Tribolium castaneum: one gene and its partner. The protein of the gene in region 1 binds, or shares a complex with, the protein of each later gene. Links are inferred from orthologs where the notes say so. Each region holds a gene or a part of one and is shown on either strand. Other genes may lie near its edges. The genes, in order: Dis3 and Rrp4.

What was found.
Region 2: Dis3 (region 1) and Rrp4 share a complex: the UniProt entries of both Caenorhabditis elegans proteins name them as parts of the RNA exosome complex. The link is inferred for Tribolium castaneum from reciprocal best matches to the Caenorhabditis elegans genes dis-3 and exos-2.

Annotation. Positions count from the first base shown.
Region 1 is NC_087394.1:36,186,379-36,190,960, reverse strand, and holds the start of Dis3 (exosome complex exonuclease RRP44), read left to right. Parts: upstream 1-1,677; 5' UTR 1,678-2,155; coding exon 2,156-2,209; intron 2,210-2,258; coding exon 2,259-2,423; intron 2,424-2,475; coding exon 2,476-2,633; intron 2,634-2,684; coding exon 2,685-3,084; intron 3,085-3,159; coding exon 3,160-3,573; intron 3,574-4,415; coding exon 4,416-4,562; intron 4,563-4,582. UniProt on the Caenorhabditis elegans protein: Putative catalytic component of the RNA exosome complex which has 3'->5' exoribonuclease activity and participates in a multitude of cellular RNA processing and degradation events. Has both 3'-5' exonuclease and endonuclease activities.
Region 2 is NC_087397.1:170,276-173,529, forward strand, and holds Rrp4 (exosome complex component RRP4), read right to left. Parts: upstream 1,821-3,254; 5' UTR 1,740-1,820; coding exon 1,615-1,739; intron 1,564-1,614; coding exon 1,326-1,563; intron 1,265-1,325; coding exon 1,130-1,264; intron 1,076-1,129; coding exon 896-1,075; intron 843-895; coding exon 630-842; 3' UTR 606-629; downstream 1-605. Other genes in the region: uncharacterized protein tyn, read left to right, coding at 50-201; Impbeta11 (importin-11), read left to right, coding at 2,271-2,408, 2,456-2,556, 2,609-3,129, 3,183-3,254. UniProt on the Caenorhabditis elegans protein: Non-catalytic component of the RNA exosome complex which has 3'->5' exoribonuclease activity and participates in a multitude of cellular RNA processing and degradation events. Involved in regulation of antisense ribosomal siRNA production.

The DNA of each region.
Region 1 (4,582 bases):
TTTCGCAACAGATGCGTTCTTGCGCAAGAACGCTCTTATTGATTGTAAGTCGCTCTGTTTCAAATATCACAGGACGCGGATTCTAATTAGAAATTGTTCGAATGTTGTGGAAAAATTCATAATTCAGTTGGAAACAATAATTACAAGTTATTTATTACAAACAGGAATTTTCCGACGTTTTTATTTGTTTAATATAATTTATGTCACACTTTTAAGGTCTTGTGTATGACAATAAAGGGCTTTTATTTACCTGGAACAACACAGTAACTTAATAACAACGCTTGTAATTCTTCACAGCTACTACACACCACAGCAGATAGGTTTTGTTTAATGAATTCAATTGGCGCTAGTTAAATAAATTACTGTAAATAAAATATGTAACCTTCTACGAGTGTATTATGAGTATTAACTAGCTTATCTTAGGCAATTTTTGAGCTACTTTCTTAGGACGACACGTGATACCTTTCAATTCACTTTTGTAGACATTAAACAATGCACAGGTACGCTTAAGTATCATGTATGCAACATATGGTTACATAAACTTGATCTATGTGTTTTATTGTTTTCTATGAGTTATACGTTAATAATAGTTTTGAAAATAAATGAATAGTAAAGTTCGGCAAATACCTAATCTGTTTGTTTTACGAACAAAGTAATTAGTACGTTATCAAGGCTGTTAAAAATGTGATTGTTTTTTAATTTTTAAGTTTTGCCAAATATCAAGACGATTCGTGATAGATAAATTGTTACAGTTGCGTTCCGAGCTCATCTCAAAGATTCTCCGAACTCATTTACTCAAAAATTAAAACGAATTTCAAAAAATTTGAGACAAAAGTTAGTCTGAGAGGTTTTTACTTTTTTTGTAAAATCCGCAAGTTATTAAACTAATTTTTTAAATCAGTTTGTCAGAAAAACTTTGAATGCTGATCAGACGCTCGTTCGAGTGACTTGAGTTCAAAAAAAAAATAATTTTCTGTTGTTAGGACAGCAAAGCAAAGAAGTTTCTCCACGACCTAAGAATTTACTTTATGATTTTTTTTTTATAAAAAAAAAGAATAATTTTTTGTTAACTAAATTACATGATAAAAATGTGGAAAAACGCCTCGGAAGACTTGTTTCCGGAACGAAACAAATATTTTATAAACTGTGTTTTTAAATATCGTGGTTTTACTTATATGGGAAGCTAAGTACAGTCACCCAAAATGAAAATGATGCGTCTATAAACAACCACCTACCGTGCATTTTTGAATAAGATACTCATTTATTTTACAATATTTGATAAAAAAAAACGTCTAAATCCATAAATCTTTTGACAAAACAACGTCTCAAAATTACAAAATTACAAAATTTTCCAAGCTTTTTGGAATGTATTACCTAAATAAACCGAGCTGAAAATGAAACAAAATTTTTTTTTTATTTTTCTGATTATTTCGTAAAAATTATCAAGAATAAGATAAATATCATAAAATACTTTAATTAATGTTCAAATTTGTTCATTATACAGCAAATTTAATTTCACATTGAAATTTATATTTTGCATCAACCGTGTAAACTATAGATTGCTCCCTCACATTTTGTCTCTAATAAAAGCTTTTATTACTATAATTATTATTATTATTATTATTATTATTATTATTATTATTTATTAATAATTTATTATTTATTTATTAATTAATTAAATTTTCCAAAAAATGAAACCCTCAATTATTTCAAATGATGATAAACGAAATGTCGAATTTCTTAAAACTTGGGCGTTATAGACACGTCATTTTCATTTTGGGTGACTGTACTTATCAATAGCAACTCGTACAGGATGTATAATTTTTCATTTTGCTTCTGCAACTAATTAAGTCGCATGGGGAACACGTTTATTGCATATTTTTAATAAATTAGCATGTTTATATAGCAGTGGGAGTTAGATTTCTTAATAAAACGTTGTGCATGACTAGGTAATATGGTAATGGTCTTTTGTATTCATAATTGCTGGAACAATGTAAGAATTTTTGTTTTGTATTTTTTATAATAAAAAAACAGTTTTTTATATTTCCCGCCTCAGCTGTCAACAAAAACATAACCACAAAAAATATTGTAATATAACCTCCAAATAACTTGTTGCGGCATGTTTTTGTAAAAAAACATTTGAAATAATTAAACAATGTTTACGACTAAAGCTTTTATTAAAAAGAACAAAGTTGGGAATTATCTGAAGGTTAGTATGTGACAATAAACATGGGGGTCCATCTTTTCTAATATTGTAGCACGTTCGAGAACATTATATTCGTGATGACATTTCTTGTGGTCTTCAAGAGTGTGAAACTTGTTTGCCAGTGGAGTCATTCCTGTCCCCAGACCACGAAAACAAATGTTCTTTATTTACTTCTAATCATTATCTAATACTAGACACAAATGTTGTTCTTGATCAGGTATTTTCCGAGTTTATTTTTTATAAAACTAGCATTTAAATTACAAATTTAGATGGATATTTTGGAAGAGTCCGTCATTGGTAATGTGATAATCCTCCACACAGTTTTAAACGAGGTGAAGCACCGAAGTCTACCAATTTACAAACGCTTGTGTGCTGTAATTGAAAATCCGAGTCGTCATTTTTACGTTTTTATAAACGACCACCATCAGTAAAAACATTTTTTCATTATATTGATACAAACCTAAAACATTGCTTCCAGAGGCACTTATTTGCAACAAAACGAAGGTGAATTAATTAATGATTACAATGACAGGTGTATTAGAGCTGCGTGTTCCTGGTACATAAACCATGCCCCTAAACAAAAATTCGTTTTCCTCACTGACGACTCAGCTAATCGGATTAAAGCCCAAAAAGAGGATATACCTTCTTACACCGTCTCGGAATATGTGCAAAATCTCAACACTTCGGGTCTTACCGATAAATTATCGAGGAAAGATTTTCACGGAAATGATTTTACGAAAGACGTTTTTCCCAACCATTTGAGTAATGTTGAGCTTTTGACTGGCATAAGAGAGGGAAAGCTGCTCCAGGGGACTTTCCGAGCCTCTCGAGATAATTTCTTGGAAGGTTTTGTCAATGTGGATTCGTACGAAGAGCCGGTAAGGCAATTTTATAAATACATTATTTTTAATATTGAAACTCGAAGCGAAGCTATTTGTTTTTATTTTCTGTAGGTGATAGTTCAGGGTCGGGCTGGCCTTAACCGCTCAGTGGATGGTGACACTGTAGCTGTTGAGCTTTTGAAAGAGGAGGAATGGGTGTGTCCGAGTGAAATAATCCTAGAGGATGAAGGGGTTGGTGATGAGAGTGTTGACGATGTTGTGACAAAAGAAAACGAGTTACAAAAAGCGACAAAGAAGAAAAGTGGAGCTAAACCTACAGGACGTGTTGTTGGAATTATTCGTAGAAAGTGGAGACAATATTGTGGCATTTTACAAGGGGGCATTGATGGTGTTTATCAGATGTTTGTTCCAGCTGATAAAAGTATACCCAAAATTAAAATAGAAACGAGACAAGCGGAGTTTCTAAGGACTCAGAAATTGATCGTTACGATTGATTCCTGGCCCAAACATTCACGCTATCCTCATGTAAGTGTTATAAGTAAATAAATAATTATTTACTCAAAAAAAATTACCACTAAAGGTAAGCTGAAAATACAATAAATCAAAGACAAACAATGATTATAAAGAAACACTAACAAATAAAATAAAAAAACAACAGTTTACAACTTAGTCTAAGAAAAAATTGGAAGCATGTTAAGAAAGCGTCAATAATAATGTCGTAATAAAATTTATTTATTTTAGAGGTAATTTCCATTCTACTATAATAAGAGTCAACATTTAGAACACTAATATTAAAAGACATTAAAAACTGACTGATTCAGAAATGTTTTTATGGCAAACTATGCAAAAACAGCTGTGATTAGTAAGAAATTTTCTACAATGTCAAAAAAAGTAACATAACTTGAAAATTATCACAGATAGCTATAGGAAATGCTAATACAAATCGATGTAGAAAAAAATTCTCTTCCATTTAATAAAATAAAAATTGGGACATCCCATTTGAAAAAATTAAGTTATGGGCACTTGAAGTTGTTCAAACTTTAAAATTTTTGGGTTTAATAACGTCTTTTCCAATTTTGAATACACTGCAGAACAGATAGAGGCTTTCTCTTTTAATCCTCCAAATATGATTTTGAAATCTCCAAAGCTAAGAGAGTTACCGATTTTTTAAGTGACAGATGCAAATCCAAAAATTTTCAAAAAATCTTAAATATCCTGAAAATGGTTCAACTTAGGTATAGGGAAAGTTGATAAAAATAGCCTTAAAATAATTCCACTAATCCATTTAAAATAAGGAAGTTGCATAAAAAAAAATTACTCAGGAAAAAATTTCTTTTTGCATTAATTTTTTGTAATTTTTTAAATAGGGTCATTTTGTGCGAGCTTTGGGCAACATTGGGGACCAAACCACCGAAAACGAGGTCATTTTGCTGGAACATGACGTCCCTCACAGCCAATTCTCTGAGGAAGTTCTCAATTGTTTGCCCAAAATGCCTTGGATCATAACCGATGATGTAATGTTTATTTTCCTCCC
Region 2 (3,254 bases), on another chromosome or scaffold:
ATTAGTGTTGGATTTCGGACGAGTTTTTATTCAATTGATTTGTTTCTAGATAAAACAGTAACGATCATTGAACCGTGCCCCACCAAGACTTCAGTGTTAGCCTTGGGTGTGACTTGTGCCTTATTAGTTCTACTTTACATCAGTACGCTGTTCTGTTACTACATGAAGAAGTGGTTAAATCCCGGGAAACACATCGCTTGAAGATTTAGAGACACTTTGGTGCTTTAATCAAGTTTGATCTTTCGGTTGAGTTGACGAGCAGCATTGTTAGTTCTGTGATATCGTTAACTCGAGATGAGATATCAAATAGGGAATTCCCCGACTCTACATTATGCAATATGTATTTTTTAAGGATTTTTTTTCGGGAAGGTGGCGGCCTTGGTGATGGAAGCTTTATTTTACCGTTGCAAAAGTTATACTTTCTTGATCTCTTATTAAAACTAATTTGCACTGACTCTCGTTCCTAGAGCAAATTTTGTAACGGTAAACAGTCTAATTCGTGTACTTATTTATTTTATTTATTTACTTTTTTGTATATATCTCGACTAGGCTAACATTATTTATATCGATTATTTTATACACGTTCTCAAGTCGAATAATAGACATTTTTTATAAGAAAAAACTATTTATTATGAATTTTCCAACATGCTTAACCTATCCTGAGTCAAAATTGCTACATCGACCATAGCTTCAGGAATCAATAATTCAGCCACTGAATATTTCTGTGATTCTTCAAAAGCATACAAAATGCTAGTATCGTACAGCATCATTTTACTTTGAATAAGCGCCAAAATACAGTTTCGAAGACGTCCAATTGTTTCTCTTTCTGGCCTTGAAACGACCTAAAAACACCACAGTAGCAAAAAAAAACAACAAAACTATTGTGAGACACAACTTGTTCCAAATTTTGCACAAAGCCACCAGCGTTATCCTCAGCATTTGAAACAGTTGGATAAATCCAAATAAACCCATTATTGCCCAAAATAATACTAGCCCCAACATAGAAATTGTGAAAATGTGTTTTGCTCCTTTTAATGAGCGAGGGAAAGACTTTAACTAAAATACCTTGAGAAAGCTACAATCAAAAATGAACGTATAATCAAAACGTAACGAAAAACACGAGACAAACTTTTCCATATTTCAAACTTCTAGTATGTAAAGATAAAGAACCATCTGAATAAACGCTCTGTACTTCGGCACTTATAAGATCGCCCTCTTGAAGATATTGTCTCATCATATGCTCGTCTTCTGCTGATCTACGCCGCTGAAATTTAATATTGCCAACTTACTTGCAAAATTAACGACCAAAAAAATCTTTTATGTACCAGTTCCCCTCCTGGTAAATTAACGGAAGACAACAACAAGACCGAATCCAGACGCGAATTCGTATCAACTTTCCAGCGTTTTTGTTGGACTTCTGTGACTCGTCCAACCACCACATCACCCACTTCACCATTATATCGACTTTTTAACGGACGAATCGAAATCAAATTATTTACTTGTTCCTTAACTCCAGCAACTGATGATTTTAAAAAACCCTCTTCTTCGTACGTACCATGCCCTCTATTTAGAAAAATCGCAAAATTTCAAAAAAAAACACGAGACAAACCTAACCTCATAAATTCATTTTGCTCCGTAATCACTTGTCCCGGAGTAAATATCTTTGGAACTCGACGGTTAACAGCAATTGAGGGGTTGATGCGATGAGCGGCAAGGCGTATGTGAATTTTTTGCGGCATGTTCTTGCAAAACACTCGAACCGCATTTGAGATTAGAAACAACAATTACTGGGTTAGGCAAGCAACAATACGCAAGTACGCAATCTATATAAAATTGTGACTTCTCTGTTATCAATCTGAATTATTATTGAAACTTGTTTTTAATTTTCTATTTTGTCGGTTTTATGTGTAATTTAATTATTAAAAGGAAATTTTTGTTTTTTGGTATTTTTAATGACTGTTGTGGTAGTCGTGCATGTCATTTGAAACATGTCATATGTGTTTTGACAATTGATAATTTTATTTAAGAAAAAATAATTGTATAATACCGGTCAGGTGAGGCAAAATTTTCTTTTCCACATTGAAATGAAAAAATTTTAAATTTGTTATTACCATAATGTAAGGCGTATTAGGAAATCAAAATTAAATTATTCTAACCTCACTTTTGCGATTTGTCTTACACACAAGTTAAAATTTATTGAAAATAATTCGTATATTGTTGTGTATTATAATAAATTGTGGTTCTCAAGGGGGAAATGATTATAATTCACAATGAATACGGGATCAACACAAGACATCGTAATTGAAGTTCTGCAAAGAGCCTCGAGTCAAAATCCAGAAGTGTTAAAACCGGCTGAAGCCAAATTACGGGAATGGGAAACTCAACCTGGATTTTACACAGTTTTATTTGTACGTATTGGGCAAAAAACACAATTAAATAATACACCATTCTTCAGAATGTTTTATCTAACCACTCGCTTGATATAAACGTACGGTGGATTGCAGTTTTGTATATAAAAAATGGTATTGAACGATATTGGAGAAAAAACGCACCAAAGTAAGTCACGCAAGTTGTAATGTACCTAACTAAAGTTAATGTCCATTTCTAGCGCTATTTTAGAGGCAGAAAAACAAAACATTAAACACGGTTTAATTTTAAGTTTTAACGAACCCGTTAGTCAGATTGCGGTACAAAGAGCGGTTTTAATTTCGAAAATTGCACGAATTGATTGTCCGAAAGAGTGGCCCGAATTATTTCCGACTTTACTACAAGTAATTGAAAGTCCTGATTCTCTAGTCCAACATCGAGGATTTTTAACTCTTCATCATGTAGTTAAAGCCATTGCTTCGAAACGGTTAACAGGCGATCGCCGTTTTTTCCAAGAGTTTTCCAGTAATATTTATTCGTTTGTGTTGAATTTATGGAATAATTTCACCGAACAATTTATGAATGATGTAATGAAAGGCGCAGCTTCGCAACTAGTTCTTACAAATTTGGAAAAAGCACTATTGACTTTGAGGATTTTACGCAAATTGACTGTTTTTGGTTTTTATAAACCGCATCAAAACCAGGATTGTATGAAGTTTTTGAAAGTGATTTTTGATCGCGCTAAAATGGCACTGCAATGCAGTGAGTAGTTTGTGTGGTTATAATTTTTTTTTCGTCACATTTGAACATTACAGGGAAACATTTGAGGGATAAAGAACTGGTGGAACAATGCGAAAAATTCATTACACACTTAACGAAAGTTTTAA